Linked DNA regions of Schizosaccharomyces pombe. The gene in region 1 interacts genetically with each later gene. Each region holds a gene or a part of one and is shown in the gene's direction. Other genes may lie near its edges.

What was found. Genes that interact genetically often act in the same process or in processes that back each other up.
Region 2: mutations in rsv2 (region 1) and met10 together harm fitness less than expected from each alone (positive genetic interaction), as found in Schizosaccharomyces pombe (one large-scale study listed by BioGRID).
Region 3: mutations in rsv2 (region 1) and adn2 together harm fitness more than expected from each alone (negative genetic interaction), as found in Schizosaccharomyces pombe (one large-scale study listed by BioGRID).

The regions. Positions count from the first base shown.
Region 1 is NC_003423.3:3,530,650-3,536,279, forward strand, and holds rsv2 (DNA-binding transcription factor Rsv2), read left to right. Parts: upstream 1-2,278; 5' UTR 2,279-2,281; coding exon 2,282-4,195; 3' UTR 4,196-4,639; downstream 4,640-5,630. Other genes in the region: SPOM_SPBC1105.13C (uncharacterized protein), read right to left, coding at 1,111-1,539; 3-hydroxyacyl-ACP dehydratase Htd2, read right to left, coding at 4,754-5,630.
Region 2 is NC_003421.2:1,525,323-1,532,066, reverse strand, and holds met10 (sulfite reductase NADPH flavoprotein subunit), read left to right. Parts: upstream 1-2,131; 5' UTR 2,132-2,574; coding exon 2,575-5,595; downstream 5,596-6,744.
Region 3 is NC_003423.3:4,399,234-4,404,844, reverse strand, and holds adn2 (transcription factor), read left to right. Parts: upstream 1-1,975; 5' UTR 1,976-1,997; coding exon 1,998-4,229; 3' UTR 4,230-4,462; downstream 4,463-5,611. Other genes in the region: U5 snRNP complex subunit Spf38, read right to left, coding at 1-55, 94-198, 240-284; TIM23 translocase complex subunit Tim21, read right to left, coding at 4,854-5,525. UniProt on the Schizosaccharomyces pombe protein: Probable transcriptional regulator involved in cell adhesion.

The DNA.
Region 1 (5,630 bases):
CTTTCTAATTGAGAGATATCAAATTGAATCAGCTCGATCGCATACTTAGATACTTATTAAGTGTTGTAATTTCGTCAAATAAAACTTTTAACAATGTAAAAAAGTACGTACTTTCTTCCGCTCCTTGCTTAATACCACAATAAATGAATTTACCTAATCTGTATCTAACAACCACATAGTCAACGGGACTAACAAATTCCAGTAAAGTGTTAAGGATAAAAAGCTTTCAGCAATGAGAGCGTACGACTCTTTCTCTAATCTGACATGTTTTCTTTTGTGTTTATAAAGCATTCGTTTTGTATTGACAAATTTTTCAATTACCTTGGGTAGGTGAATTATTTTTGGGCATATGACATCAGAACGCGTTGAACAATTAAGTTCACTTTGACAAAAATACAGATTTTTTATCACTACACGTCGTTTACTTTATATTTTACTTCATCTTATTACAAGGTTACTCTGTAATTGTAACGTTTGACGAAGCCCATAATCCAATCCTCTTTTTCGTTGCAGAGGAAAATAAGGAAGAGTAAGTACGTAAAGCCTACGAAAAGAAAGAGAAATATAAAAAAGTATACGTTTGTCAGTGCAATATTGAATGGTAAGTTTATTAATTGTTCCACTCATCGACTAAATAATAAAGTAGAAAGACGAGACATTTATGTGTATGCTAGAACACACTGGAATCCATTTGTTCACGAGTTGTTCTCGTAATAACATAATGATTGGTATTGCCGTGTGTGAATGCCAGTGATTATTGATGTTTGAAAGACTACAACTGATAAAAAGATAGTTGCACTAGTGATAAAAGTCTGTTGAAATTGGTATGCTCTAAAAGTCATTTGTACTTGAGTAAGCAGTCATATGCGTGTTGGCTATCCATCTGTTTGACTTGTTTGAAAATAATACACATGGGTTATGCTTTTCACAAGAAAGTAGAATAATTGATTCCTACATCTGCATCATCCATATCGATCGGTAAAGTATACTTTATCCTACGAATTGGTTTCATAGTTAAATCACTCCTCTGCTTAGCAGCTCCGCATCCCCTTCGTGTACTAGCCAATCTCATCGACATCGACAAATTGACTTCACCTGAGTTAAGCATACTTAATTCAACTTAACGAAGTGCAACCCACCACGACTGACCTCTGTAATCTCGGAAAACGGATAAGACGGTTCAGTACGTTCGCTAGTAAGAAGCATGCATGCAAAGGTACAAGAGCAGGCTTCCCATGCAAACTGAGAAAATAATCCCTGAAGAATTGCTAGTAAGCCAAATTGCAGCGCCTCCAAACATCCTTCTATTAAGGACCAGAAAGAATGATGCTGATGACTAATTTTTGGGTTATGCAAGAAGCATCTGGCATTTTCTTTAACTTCTCCACGAATAAGGAGAAGGTCACACGACGGAAGCGTGGAATAATGATGAGTTTGATCGTCGGTAAACTCCCCCAGAGTAGCGAAGATCATCGGCATCGAAAGAAAGAAGGGAAGGAAAAAAAAAAGTAAAAACGACTTGATGAATTCCGTGATCATGTAGGGTAACGGAAGACGAGATTACCGAGTTTAAGTAAGCAATCGAGGTCTGCATTGCGATGCCGATATGGTGATCGGGAACATGAAGCACTTGATTGACTTGAACATGTAGGGAGGAAATTTTTTTAGCGTTTTTAGACTTTTCATTTAGCTGCTATCTTAGGAGTAGCGTGACACGGCGCAAACGAAAAACAAGACATTTGTTGTACCAAACATCCTCAATTCCATCGCATCTCTAAAGTACGAGTAACTAGAGTAAGATGCAAATCAACGTCGTGATATGACCTAAAAGTATCGTGGACTTGATTCATCCTTCAATCTCATCTTTCCCCGACTCCGCCTCTTCATTTTGACCTCATTCTATGATTGCTTTTGGAATGAAGCTTGCAGCGTATTCCTTCATTAGTGCGTTATGACTAACCGCGATATATAAGGTGATTTAAGTACTGGAAGCTCGCTTTCCATATGAGAGGACAGCGTAGAGCGCAAGTCGCAGATTGAAGGAATGTAATTGGGGTTCGCTTACACATTACGCGCTTTTATTTGAAAAGAACGAATCAGCAGCACTGCCAGCGCATTCTGACATTTCCATGCTACTTCATTGGCGGCCTCTGATTGGCTCAATCAATGTAAAACGACGTCAATTGCTAACCAATGTTGTTTGACAAGGGTGGTTTTTTCAATCAGACGCTTGACGTCATTCTTTATATATACATTGCCTCGCGCATCTTTGCTGGGTAGTATGGACACTACAAACAACACATATGCAAGATCAATTTCTAGTAATGGGAACGATAACTTTCCCACTCCAGATTGGCAATTTAATGGATCCCAATTGCAACAAAATCGTAAATCCAAAATGAATGGTCGCTCTGTGACTAATGTATTTCCGAATGCATTCTCGGATGCTGAATTCGAGCAAATCTCGATGCCCGAACTCAATTTAAAGCGTTTTAACCCTACTACGTTAGAAGAAAATAACTCAGATTTATCTGATATGTCCTCCTGGGACTATATGATGAACGTTCCCATTCGTGTCTACAACGATGCTGACACAATGGACCCCTTCTCCCTCGACACTATTCCCGATTCCTCGATGGACATGCCATTTGATCCCTTAGCATCTGACTATGGTAACGCTGCTAACTTTCCAAGTGTCCCTTCGTCCCTTGGCAGCAATCATCAATTTATCACCACACCTCCTGTCAACGGGTCGAACGAACCTACCTCGGCTCAAACGAATCACATTATTACTGCTAACAGTTCCCCCAGTGGAAATGCTGGGAGTAACGCATCTGCAAGCATGTCCGTCCCTCCTCCTCTTACTCCATCTGCTTCCACCATTAATGACCAGCCCTTCTCCAACTCTTTCGATTTACCTAGTCAGGTGATTGCTGATGGCACTGGCGCGATTTCCGACATCAACGGTAATCCATTTCCCATGAATTCTCCACCTTTGGATATGGAACCGTTGCCCTCGATATCCATGGATGCAAGTGACTCTGTCTCCGAACAACTTGTAAAGGACGCCTCTCTTCCTAGTGGTCCTTTTTCAACCGATTATTTGGAGAATGGAAGTGACTTAAAAAGGTCACTGGGTCACAATCAAAAGTCAGACAGAGTCTCAAAAGATGTCTCACCTCAACACCAAGCAAATCCCTCTACCCTTAACAATCCTCTCAAGACCCAAAATTTTGATTCCTCTAAGAACCTTTATACCGACAACAAGGATTCCTCCCTTGTATCTCCAACGGGACTTCAATCCCGTATGGAACAAAATCCGGAAGTGCGGGCGCATCCTATGAAGGACTCGGCGACGAGCACTGCGTTACGCCGTTCTCATGCTCTGGGAGCTGCTGCTGACTCTCTTCTTCCTCAAGAAAACTCCGCTCAGATATATGATGGGAAGGATGTATCTATGGTCAATGATAACATGCACTCCGATGTTCGGCAGGACAGCTTCAATAAAGAATCTATTAAACAACGCATCCCTTCTTTGTCTCCTCCGATAACGCGATCATACAATGCCAAGCATCGCCCCTCCTTGGTGCTTGGTACGTCGGTAAATCCACATTCACTTTCTCCTTCACAGCCTCCTGTTGTCGTACCTTCAAATACTACGATCAGCTCCTCTCCTCCACTCACTTCTCCTGTTAAAACCTCTGCTAATATACCTAACTTATTACCGACTTCAGAGTTAGACAGTTCCAACGCTCCTCACTCTCAATCGGCTGCTACTCATGACCTAAATGACGTTAAGTCGTATTACAATACTAGGTCTTCTCATTCCGTGGTACCTAATCCAACCAACCAAAAAGTAAGCATCACCGGTGCTGCTGCTGATGGCCCCAACGGATCTGCTCCTGTTGACACCACTCCTACAAATTCTTCTACTACTGCTACGGGTGCTCAGAGGAAGCGTAGGAAGTTTAAATTTGGTAAACAAATTGGTCCAGTTCGGTGTACTCTTCAGAACAGAGTTACAGGAGAAATTTGTAACACAGTGTTTTCTAGGACGTATGATTTGATCCGTCACCAGGATACGATACATGCTAAGACACGACCTGTATTTCGATGTGAGATTTGTGGCGATCAACGCCATTTCAGTAGACATGATGCCTTGGTTAGGCATCTCCGTGTGAAACACGGTAGATAAATTGAAAGGAGTCTCTTCTGCCACAAATATTAAAAAAAGGTTATTGCATTATCTATTGTCATTTTTCACCTCTTACGCTTCTTCATTGATTCCTTGTTTATGAATTTTAAAAAAAGTTGCATTTTGCTAATTATTTTCAAGAAAAAAATTGGTACCGTTATTATTTCACAGCCCTTTTGAAAGTGCTTTTTCCTTTGTCTCCTTTCATGTACATTTATCATCTTAATTTTGCCTCTTCATTTCATCGTATCCTCAAGCTTCATGTGTAATTTCAAACCCCTTCTCCGTCTAACGGTTTCCTTTTTTATTTTGGACGGTCATAAGTGTTTTTATATTTTGTTTTCATTTTTATTGGGATTGGTTAATATTGTTTTTTTTTTCTTACCAAGTTACTGTTAAATGTTAATAAAAAATTTTGTGTGTTTTCACCTTAAATTGAATACCTATCATGTAATTTGATTTAGTTTTACATACTTAAATTTTAATATTAGTAAGTAGTATTTGTAATTTAGAAATATTTTTTCTGCCGGTATTAATTATTATTGTTTTTCAGTTATGTTAGGTATAGACGCGGCCTCTAGCAATCAAAGACGGTGGATCAAGGTCTGTAGTAAATCGATCAATCCATAGGTTACCTGTCTCTGAGATACATATGCGTAGTGGTTGATTGACAAACGCGGGAGATAATAATCGAAACTCAAATCTTTTCATGTTCTTTGACATTTGGGGATAAACAGAACGAAAGTACTCTAACATACTAGTCACTAGAAGAGGACCTGGAAGAACGAGATTTGGATAATTTTCGGACTTTGTAGCGTATGTCGCATTCCAATGGATCATATGAGCATTAAACATTAATGCTGAATAGCGAAACACCATAATAGGTGTAGGTGTGAATACCCAAGAGTGTTGTGGAATACTTTTGCTACGTAAAGTTTTTGGTATAGCCAGTTCTTGTCGATTTAAATAGGCTAATGTTCTATCTTCCTCGATACATAATTGATGCTGACTGTCGTAAATTTTTCTTCGAATATATACATGCTTTGTCTGTTTTTCTGAAGTAGGCTTTGTTAGAAAAGAACTTTTTGGAAGACAAGCTTCAACTTCTTTTGTAATTGATGGAGATTTCACAGATTCTTCCTGAATCAATTCATGACATTCCGAAGTTTGGAAAAGATGTAAAGGTCTATGAAAACGAAGGACTCCATGTAACCATATTCGGCGCTTAAAAGAAAAAGGATTATTTGGCTTTGGGGAATAAAGACTTTCATATCCATCTGAATTCAAATTTGATTCAGGAGATGCTAAAGAGAAAAAAAGAAAATGGTAACCAGGCTGTAATGATGTTATTTTAGCATCCATTGTTATGCAACTAACAGGCAAATGACCACTTAAAGTAGCTTTTAACTTATCAATTGGCGCTTGAGATAAGAAA
Region 2 (6,744 bases), on another chromosome or scaffold:
AGTCGAGGAACGTTTTAAATAAATTCCTCTTATACGTTCTCTTCCTTTAGGTTGATAAATTGTAAATGACAGCTTTTTCCCAAATTCCTTTTTCCTCGTCTCTGCTTTAGCTTTCTGATCCAGAAGAATTGCACAACGGATATTAATAGAAGACAAGACGAACAGCTAAGTGTTTTAAAATAATATACTTTACTTTTAAATATTTCCAATGTTTGTTGTTTGTCAAAAGTTTGAGTGCTGGCATAAATTATTTATAAGCTCTAGCTATGGACATTTGTTTACATATTATGGGATAAACAAATACATCAACTTATTGACACTAACCAACAATAACATACAAAATAGGAAGGTATTAAATCACTATGTTCAATGTTTTTGAGCACAATTTCGTAGAAAAGATAATTTTGATTTAATGAGTGTGCAAACTGATCAAATTGTGATTTTTCCTCGAGGCGATTTCATTCTATGTTTTTATGATTGCGTCAATTCTCTAAGCAGTTTTGCGATTTTCTGCACTCTAAACTTGTTAAATAACTTTTGTTTGCAAAAGGTACCAGATGCTATAAAGACTGGATTTTGTTAATATACTACTTTATATTATAACATATATGATTTTCAGATTACAAAACAGCTTAAAAGTTTGCAACCTAAAGACATAATAACTTTTTTATTGATTGCTCATTTATTTTAATTGATTATTATTTTTCAGGGTTATATCGAGTTACTTTGTTTTAATGTCAGGTTTAAAAAAATAATTAAATGAAAGTAAATGTAAAATGAGGTAGGCTTGTCAGACCCTTCAAATTTTTTTAAAAAAAATTGAAATATTTCTTTCAGAAAGGTATGATTAAACTCACAATTTTTTTCGATTTCAAAAAATCTTTTAATCAATTTGAATATTTGCTACCTACAAATATTGTCACATAATAGAAATGTAGACGAAGTGATTTCATCAAATTAAGGAACGTTCAGTATTTTAAAAAAAGATATGTAAATTCTACAATTTGTGACGATTTGGAGATGCTACTATTTGAAATGTAAATGTATTTACATAAATGTATATTTGCTGCTAGATGCTGATATACTGGGTATAATGAACATAATTACAGCACAGTACTTAGATGCATTTAGCGCACTATGAATAAATCAGTAAATATTGAATACCTGTCAATTTTCTGGAGATAAAACTAACTAGCTAAACTAAAATCATATAATGGAGCTTCTAAAATCAAGTACGTTGCTGAAATCGAACACATCAATACGTGCGGTTCTTTACTCAAATTCACTTGACATTCTATTTCATGTTTTTCAGAATGCGAAAGATGATAATGTCTTTCTGATCAGATTGCTACAAGATGAGACTACTAAAAGTATTGAAATTTAGAAAACCTTATAAAAACAATAACTACCTTGCACACACATTTTCTTAATTTGATGAGAATAAAACTGCTAACCCCAACGGTCGTTATTTATCGTCTGGGTATCCGTAAATCTCTGTATACCTGTTCAAAGATATACAACGTCACATCTGTCAACTACATTCCATTATGTTGTTAAATCCCTTCAAATGTAAGCTACGCAGTTTGGTATCTGATTTAAGGATACGTAGAACTGCGGTGAGTTTTCCTTGTGATCTATTATATTACAATACACAGGTTGTATAAGTAGCAACTGAGTATAGGTATTGTATTAACTGAGTTATAATGTTACCTATCACTAATATAGCTTATAACTGAACTGAGGAACGAGGTTCAGCAGTAGCTCTATTTATATTATTCAGATAATATAGATCTTGATAGATTATCATTAAGATCAATCTCAATATCGTATCATACATGGTACTATATATAATTAGAACATGTGACATATAGTGATACGCAACGTAGTGTATTATAGCGTAGTGTAGTATTGCTGACATCAAACAATTCTTTAATTACAGTAAGAAAAAGCACCTCCATTATCCTTAATAAGAATAACGAGCTATTGAAAGAATACGTTGTTTATACCTTTAAATTAAGCGATTATGTCGCTTTAAAGTAGCAACAATTGGTGTGATACACAAGCGCAATCACGCAAGCAGTAGCTCTCCGAACTGGTTTATTTATTTGTTAAATTCTCAATTTTACTCTTTACCAAGTATACCTAAATATCCCAGTACTTTGCTTAGGTGTAAATTCCACGTTTGGTAGGAATTTTAGGCATTTGCAACTGAACATTTATATCTACAGTTTAACTAGAAAAAAATACACCAAAATTTTAAAACGTTTAACGGTTAATTTTTTTGGCGAAATTTTGAATCTAAAGCTGTATCTTAATTAAGAAACAGATTTCTAACTTTTTAGCGAATAAAAGCATACTTGTTTCTTTTTTTTTTTTTTTTTTGGAAAGCTCGTCAAAACGAAAAATTTTGGTTTGACACTTTTCTCCATACATTTGGATTTTTTGGTTTCTTTTTTGGGGTTCAACATTCCTTTTCATTAAATATTATTTAATTTTTTGAAACGTTTTGTTAATCAAAATTTTAAATTTCTTTAATTATTTTCTTCCGTTTAATCATTGATTTGTTGGTTCAAAATGGTTGCTACTGATTCTTCCGATCAAGTTGCGAAATTCGATGTTTCGCACAAAATCATTGAAGATATTGTTTATTCTCTTTCCAACCGTATCTTTTCTTACGCGGAACACGTTCCTTTGAACCGTTATTTGACTCAGTGGAACAACTCTGGTCGCAGAAACGGATTTTCCAACAATGTTGAACTTTTCAATTTGGAGGCTCGCTCTGGCGCTTCCGCTTTCTTGTTGGGCTCTTACACTGCAGCAATCTCTTCTCCTGGTGTCTACTCCATGATGACACCTTCCAGCTGTTTATCGCTTTTGAACCCCTTGCTTTCTAATATTATTCCTTTCTATGGAGCTAGTAAGCCTCTTGTTGTTCATGTCGCAGCTTTGGCCTACCTCGAACAAACCTATTGCGCTGATAACGTGAGTGTTTTAGACTTTTCTTACGCCAACAACTTCACCGTTTTCGCTTCGCAATCTAATGTCGAGGCTGCTCACCTCGCTTTGGCCAGTACATTGGCTGCCAAGGCTGCTCCTGTCATTCATGTGTATGAGCCGGATGCCATTGTCACCACAACTGATCCCAGCCTTCCTCTTCTCGATTCCAACGCCGTGGTTGAGTGCTTCAACTCTTACCAATCCGAAGCTGATCCTGTCTCCAACGCTTCCAAGGCTTTGAAGCATGTCAACGATTACTTTAACACTTCGTATGCTCCAGCCGAGTATTACGGATCTCAAACCGCTTCTAAGGTTATTGTAACTTTTGGGAAGTCTGAAACCGTCGCTGCTCGCGCCCTTTTGGCTGCCAATCCTGATGTGGGCGTTCTTTCTATCCGTATCTTCCCTTTTGTTGCTGAAAACATTTTCAATGTTCTTCCCACTACTTGCAAATCTCTTGTTGTTCTTTCCCAGGTTCGCTCTACCGCTGTCGGAACTTCTTCCATCTACTATTCCTTCCTACTTGCTACACTGTTGAGCACTAAACCTTCAGCGCTTGCTATTTCCGAGCATCGCTACTCCTTAGTAGAGTCCGTCACCTTGAGCTCTCTCTTTGATGCTCTTCACGAGACCCTGCAATTGAAAGCTGCTACTCCCAAAGCTGTTCATGTTGATAAGAGCATCAACGTTTGGGAATCTGATGTCGGTGATTCCTTGGTGCTTTCGTTAGTTTCTGCCTATAGAACCGATAAATCGAGATCTGTTGCCTTCCGTCCTTTGTTTGACAACTTGACCTTGGCTGGCGTCCGTTTTACCGTTGCCCAAGTTTCTACGGCCAACGCTGTTTTAACAGATGTTGTTAAAGATGTTGATGCTGATATTACTATTTTAACTACTGATCGACTTCCTTTACATTATCGTGTTCTCGCCAAGGCTGCTGAACATTCTATTTGTTTATTACAGTCCTCCATCGCACCAGATGAAGCAACTAAGAAACTTCCATACGAATTTATCGCTGATGCTTTGGAGAAAGGAGTGAAATTAGTGCTTATTGATCCCAAAAAGTTTGCCATCGATGCCTCGAACTTGCCTTTGTTGGTTTCATTTATTCAACTCGTCAAGCCTGGTTTAGGTGTTGACGAGGCTTTGGCTGTTTTGGCTAAGCAAAATAATTTAACTGACACGAATTTGAAAGATGCTGTTGACTCACTTAAGCAATCTCTCTCGTTCATTAATTTAGACGCCTCGGCTTTGAAGGATCGCGAGCCCTCGGAGAAGGAGTTGCCAAGTACCGCGAAGGAAACTTCGTTTGCTCCCAACGCTGTGAAGACTTTAGATGAGGATATCACCCCTCAATCTTCCAACTGGCAGACAGTGGCCAAGCAGATCATCTTCCCCGAGGCTTACAAAAAGAAGGACGCCCTTCGTCCTGACGTTTCGGAGAAGGTCTTTACTGTTCACGTGAGAGCTAACAAACGTCTTACGCCCGCCGAGTATAACCGTAATATTTTCCACATCGAATTCGACCTTGGCGACAGTGGGCTCACCTATGACATTGGTGAAGCTTTGGGTGTTTACGGTGTTAACAATAAAACTCACGTTCATGATTTCATTGAGGAATACGGATTAGATGCTAACGAGCTTATCCACGTCCCGTCCATTCAACATCCTGGTCATTGGGAAACACGCACAGTTTTCCAAGCACTTTGTCAGAACATTGACATTTTTGGTAAACCCACTAAAAAATTCCATGAGCAACTGCTTGAATTCGAGACTGATGAGAAGGAGCGTGCCGATCTGCAGATTTTAATTAGCCCTGCTGGAGCTCCTGATTTCAAGCGTCGTGCTGAAGTAGATATGCTTACCTATGCTGATGTATTGAAAGAGTTTAAGCATGCTAAGCTGACTGCTGCACAAATCGCACAAATCGTACCAGTCATTAAGCGTCGTGAGTATTCCATTTCTTCTTCTCAAAAGAAGCACAATGACAGTGTTCATTTGCTGGTTGTCGTGGTTGGTTGGAAGGATGGTATGGGACGTGATCGCTATGGCCAATGCTCGCACTATCTTTCCAATTTGAAGGTGGGCGAACCTCTTTGCGTTGCTGTCAAGACTTCTGTCATGAAGTTGCCCACGTCCCCCTTGAAGCCAATTGTCATGGCAGGTTTGGGAACTGGTTTAGCACCATTCCGTGCCTTTTTGCAATTCAAAGAATGGCAACGTATGCAGGGAATCGAATCTGGTGACATCTTGTTATATTTGGGTTCCCGTACTCAAAGAGAAGAGTATCTGTATGGTGAGGATTGGGAGGCTTATCATTCCGCCAATCTATTGACGCATATTGGACAAGCTTTCAGTCGTGATCAACCCTACAAAATCTATATCCAAGATGTTATGCGATCTACCAAAGACATGTTAAAGAAGGCTCTTATGGATGAGGGGGGTTCCTTTTACTTGTGTGGTCCTACATGGCCCTTGCCCGAGATCACCAGTGTTTTAGAGGAAGTGATCCAGAGCAGTTATGATGAGCCAGTCGATGCTCGCAAGATCATTGAACAATGGAAGGAAGAGCGTCGTTTTGTCATCGAAGTTTACTAGAGCTTATAGAAGGAGATGTCAAATCAAACTCATTTAAAACCTTTTCAGGTTTATTTACACATTAGGTTGTGCAAAATGCCGTAAGTATCGTTTGTATGAATGTATTGAATGTATAATGTATTAAATGTATTGTACTATATTCAGCCCAGCATTAATAGCCTTGATGATTGCAATCACCCACTTCACTGTACCAAGCCTGACTTGAGTTTCTTGAGATGCAAATTATTAATTCAAGGCAAAACGTGGACGATTACATATGCAGTTTAGAACATTCTCATTTCTTCTTTATAACTACTATCGAGATCCTACCATCTTAGCTATAGTGCAGTGGAATACTACCACCATGTTTTGTCAGCATAACGAGATCTTCTAACCATGGCATTAGGTGATCAGATGAAGCGTGCGATATAACACTCTATTCACATCAACTTTCAACAATATCGAATGCTAGAGGCGCACATGGAATAGATCAGAGCATTCGGACTTCGGGGTTATCTTCAAGATTTTATCGGTTTGTTCAACTCCGACGTCTACGCCTCGGACGCTTTGAAATAATTTACTCCGAGGTAGTATAATTTTTTAAAATGATTGAATACGTAGACGTTGTATATATACCTGAAGAATGAACGCCTCTACTTATTCCCAAACGCAACTTCCTGAGATAGTTGAATGACAAGTAGCTGAAGTCGATTCAACTACTTGAGAGATTTAAGCGTAACGTTTATCTTAGTGTGTTGTATATATTAAGACAAAAAGTATAAGGGCTCTTGCTTGGCTGACGAGAAAACACCCTTCTTTTATTTGTATAATTTAACGATTTATTTACTAAGAGTTTCCTCATTCACTGTACAACTCGTGAGCTACAGTATATTTGGGTGTCGGCGAATTGCTTGAACGATGTGAAGTGTTGTTTAGACACTTGAAAGATTTTATTTCGTTGTTTCATTGTTTGCTGTTTCACTCAGCTTTCGGGTTTTTGTTTTTAATATTATAATTCCCCAATTGCTGTGGCAATAGCAAATTGGTTGCAATAGTTCTGGTATAGAAAGGGAGATTTTATAGTGGGTAGAATTTCTTTTCACGGATATCGCTATTGTTTTTACCACTTTTCGTTCTCTTAGTCGTCTCGCCCTTAAATCCTTACTAATA
Region 3 (5,611 bases), 870 kb from region 1:
CGCCAGAAGCAAAGTATGATCCAGAAGGATCGAACCTGGCGACTAAAACTTCAGCCTAAAGCGTTAGTATGATTTATTTCAATACAACCATACCGTATGCCCAAACATCTGTAGGTTTGGAACATTGAGATCAGATGTTCGTTGCAATACAGAACCCTCCGTTATTAAGCTAGAATCTTGGATTCTAATTCTTTTAACCTATTTATATTAGTGCATGTTTTTTTAGCAATCGAACATACTAAATGTCCATTAGTCGCACTCTCCGATTCCTTTCGTTTATCCATTTCCAGTTTACTATATATAATAACTGCAATTTCTGATTGACAGTTTTCAGAATTAGAACGTAAAATGAATAGCAGGGACGGGAGTGGAAAATATATAAAACGGATCGACAATCGTCGCAGGGGTTTCTGTCACAACCAAAATACCAATAAATCGGACTTTTCTTTGGTGTTCAAATAACGAGGAATGATGAGCTCATTCCTATAAACAGGACTTAAAGTAGAATTTATATGAACAACATTTTGATTACAGGCAAAATCCCTAAAAATTTACCCTTCTCATGGAAGCCATTTAAAATTCGTTTAAACAGTATAAATAAATTGTAAGAAATATCTATTCCGTATACTATATACAGACCTTGTTTGTGCTTGAGGAAAAACACTAGTATCAATTAATGTCTTATAATATTTAACGAGCGGCTTTAATATCTAGTCTATCTCGATTTTACCACCATCAAAAACACTTGAGAAGCATTTTGCCATTAGCTAAAGATGCGTAATCACATTTTTTTTGGGTATAGTTATTAACAAATTTTTCTACTTAAAAATTGTATGTACGGTTTTCTGGGCTGAATTGTCTATTCTAGTCGCCTCAAAAATTGAAATATAAACAACGAGATAATCACTGATTAGGTATAACCGCATACAAAATTTCATAAACTTTCTCCCGTCGAATATATTTGTACTTTAAGAAATTAATTTTTGATTAATATCAAAATCCATAATTCTACAGGGAATCTAGCATGGCAATAATAAAGGATTATCCAGTAGATAGTAGTTCTAAAGCCGGATTATAGCATTTGCAATGAAAGAGAGAAACTAAATTTTCTACTTGATAAAAAATGAATTATAGAAAACTAAAATGTGGAATATGTGAAACTAAACAAATTTACGCAAAGCTTCCAATCTTCATGTAAGTACTTTCTAAAAACTTGTAGTGCCAAAATTAAGCATCTTGCTTGATTTACTGAAAAACACAATTTGCAACTAGTTTTCGAATAGTGAACACATTCCAAAATCTTTACTACTAAAAGCATTTCTAACAACTTTAGAAAATGATAATATGAGTTCCAGTGCTTAGTATTTACATCGCTAACTTATGTAAAAAGCTGTAGATATGTATATTTTCCAAGGCAAGGTAAATAAAACAAGAATAATTGATACTATCTACATAATTACAGCATTCTTACAAAAAACTGCGGCTAATAGTATTCTTAATTCATTATGATGTTTTTACGGATGAAGAAATATCAATTTACATTTACTTTCTAAACCCACCTATCCCTTAATTCCACAGTTTTCAGTTAGTAAGTTTGCATATATAAAATCTGAAATTACCACTGGTTGATTCATTGAAAGTATATCATCTTAGAACCATATTTTAATATAGCCCATTTTAGATAATTCAAATCCGAATATATACATAATAACTATTATTAAAAATGTTTTTAGAGCATGACTTGCCTTGGAAAATAAGAAACCTCTATAGAGTTTTACTCTTCAAGGGTTTTGATTTACTCTGTAACTAAATTCAAACATAACATTTATGATTTTATGATTTTCAGTAATTGATAGAAAACTAAAATGAAAATATGATATACAAAATGTTGCGGTAGTATAGCGTGCGCAGATCTTTAAAATTATATATCGCCAGCGTGCATCGTTGTAGATCCATATTCTCGTTCGCAACACCTAACTTCTGCACATTTCTAGTTTATGGCTGATCCAGGTTTAAGGTCCGGCGTCGGATTGCCAAGCCAGCAAGGACAGAAACATGATTTACAAAAAGATCAAAAACAACCGCACGTAAATAATGCCGATAGGACCACACAATCCTTACTGAATTCGTACATATATGATTATTTAATCAAGAAGGATTATTGTGAGGCAGCCCGAGCTTTTGGCCGTGAAGCACAAGTACAAACGCTCGTCAGAAGTCAAGAAGAAACCAATTCCTTAGCTAAGCGTCACAAAAGAATGTCTCCTGTTGCTGTAAAGCATGAAGGTATAAGTAATAATGAATCTTCGGATGAAAACATGAATGTAAATAACGGTAATTTAGATTCCTTTTCTTCTTCTTCTGCTCCGCCGCCACCTCCTATTTTGCCTATCGATTCAGCTGGTGGTTTTTTAATCGAGTGGTGGAATGTTTTTTGGGATATTTACAATGCTCGTCGGGGTCAAGGATCTGAGCCGGCAAAGGCGTATATGTCTCATATTAGCAATCTTAGGAAGAAATCTCGTTTAAATTTGCAAGAAATTCAAAAAAACTCTCTACACACTGGAAATACTTCTCACCCTTATGCAAACGCCTCATTTCCCCATGATCCTGCCAACGCAATGGGTCAGCAGATTGACTCATCTCAGTTTCATCAAGGGGCAGGTGGATTGAACGATAGAAATCAGCACTTAATGCGGCAAGCTATGCTAAATAATCAAAGCCGTGAAACGTTTCCCCCGACCGCTGCTCAACTTCAACAATTAAAACAATTACACTACAGGCAGCTACAATCTGTGCAACAACAACAAAAGCAGCACCAGCAAAAGAAAACTCCACAAAGTGGTTCTACCCCACAAATGCAAAACACGACTTCTCAACCTACAACTCACGATACACATCCACCTAAGCAGCAAGGTCCAATTTCCGATTTTCGATCCATCCCTTCTTCACCCAAAACAGAAGGTGCTCCATCTAATGCTCAATTTCGCCCTAGTTTACCGGCAACTCCTAATGGTTCCGTTCCCCAGTCGAATCCGTTGTACGATACCACTGGTCTTAACGGAGGACAATACCCTGTTGTTCAAAACTCTGCTCAACCATTGCTTCACGAGATAAATTTTGCTTCAAACAGAAATCCACATCTCAAACAAGGAGGAGCAGTACCTTCTTCTACCCTTCCTCAACAACAGAAATCTTTAGACAAACCTAAACCTGCTCAACAGCCTTCAACTGGGCAATTTTCTGGAAATCAAATGAACCAATACGGATTCTCTAATTCTCCTTACTCTCAAAATATGCTATATAATTTTAACGGAAACGCAAACCCCAGTCGTCTAAACCCAGCTCTCAAGAATTATATGGAGGAGTTAAAGCTACTAGAACAACAGAATAAAAAGAGGCTTCTGTTAGTTAGTCAGGAAAAAGAAAGAAAAGGGTACACATCGGCATCGCCTGATAGACCGCTTTCTCAGACTATTACTGAATCTAGTGTTGCAAAAACCAAAAGCACTACTCCTAAATCTACTGACACTCCTACAGAAGCCACCACATCTCCTGTAAAGGTCTCAACAAAAAATAGTAATACTACTGAAAATCTTAATGGCATCAATGAGTCAAATATGCCTATGTTACAAAATGGTCTTCCTTTACGTACATCAGGTGATCATCCATCAAACTATTCTAATCTGATTGAAAACTCATCTACCTCTGACACAAATAATGCGGACAATGGAATGGACGTTATGGGGAATTGGCAATTACAACAAACTCATTCATCGCGACCCACTCCAAATGCCAGTTCTCCATTGGACGTTCGATCAAAACAAAAGCCTTCTTCTGCTAATTCAAATGCTCCAACTCCAGCACCGACCGTCAACACTACCAACCCCGAATCATCAACAAATGAAGCAACAAGTGTAGGTCCTGCTTTGGAACCATCGCAAGGAGCAAATGTTCACAAATCCGATTCTGAGTTGGATAATCAAAATCAGTCAGGAAAATCAAATCCTGATACTTCCGCGACTCCTTCTGCACCTACGGAGTCTACCACAGTTGCCACTAAATCTTCAGACAATCAATTATTGGATGTTGGAAATTCAACAGACATCGATGCGGCTCTTCTAAATGATTTTGACTTCGACAAATTTTTAAAAGATACTAGTACTGGTGACGATTTATGGTTTGGATTGTTTAATTTGCCGGATAATGAAGACTCGACTGCTGCTTAATTTTGTCGAAACTTAAGTATTTTATCCTTGTTTTTCTTCTTTTTTAATTTGTTTATTTGGAAATTATATACCAGATTTTTTCATCTTTTTTGAATGCGTTGCGTTTTGTCATTATAAAAATTTAATATATAATTAATTGCTAGTTGGATATGGATTAGTGTACTCGGTTATAAATACCGGCCTACATCTTGTACTTTATATCTAATAATCAAAATTATTTCATGTGCTTTGAATCATTCTTATATTTTTTATAACTAAACACATTTAGGTAGTACATTAGATTGGCGATTAATCAGCCCCTGCGAAAAGGCCCCTCGTACAAATTCGCTTCTTTATACTAACTAATTAAACAACAAATCATGAGGTTCGATCGCTTAATTAGTAATAAAGTGTCGACGATTTTTTTATTTTTTGCAATATACATCCAAATACTGCATAACTAAGTGTGCTAATTCTGATAAAAATCATTAACATCGCCTGTAAATTAATTCGTAAATTAGAAAATTAATTCTCTGCGAAAAACCATTAATCAAACCATTAAAATCGAGAAATAATTCAATGATTTCCTTTTCGGTTGAAATTAACAGCTATACCTTTCCGTCGTGCGTTTATCATTCGGAAATTCTAATTTCCCCATGTAATATTTTTTAAGCTTCCCCATAAACCAAAATTCTTATGTTGTTGTCGTACAGAATTGGTATGATCAAAAATTATGATTTTTCCGTAATTTGCAACATCAACGAAAAGATATTCCCATTTATAGTCACCTTGAACATTTACAAGTCTTCCAAATACGTGCCCTTTTCTCTCATTACCGATTAAGTGAAATTGTAGTACTAGATGTTCTACACCATGGTGATCCCACACACGACTAGTCAATATACCATGAGTTCGACGAAGAGGATGCGTGGCTTCACCTAGGGCTTTCATGTGATCTCCAAAAACATATCGACATTCTTCATTAGCCTTTAAAAGTTCAAAAGCTTCATCACCGTAATGTGCCTCGCCCTTCCAGATACTAGTGACAAGTGCATATATAATCAATCCGAAAACGCCGCCTCCAAATATCACAATCGAAAAATTTCCAATATTAGCAGAAGTTCTGTATGCTTTTTGAGGAGCCGTCAAATCCTTCCAAGCTTTGTTAGACGGATCTTTGAAAATTCGTGCCAGGCGCCCTTCTTCTTGTGGTTTCCGTTGTTTATTGAGAGAATCAGAAGCCAAAGAGTATAATCTCCTCTGAACCAAAGCTGAAGAAAACCTTGTAGCGCTCTGCCTTTGAATAGTACGAATCATCTAGTTGATACAAAAAGATGCAAAGAAGATGTATATAGTGACGAGGCTAAACGGCATAAAGGCAATGTCTAGTGAGCTCGACATAG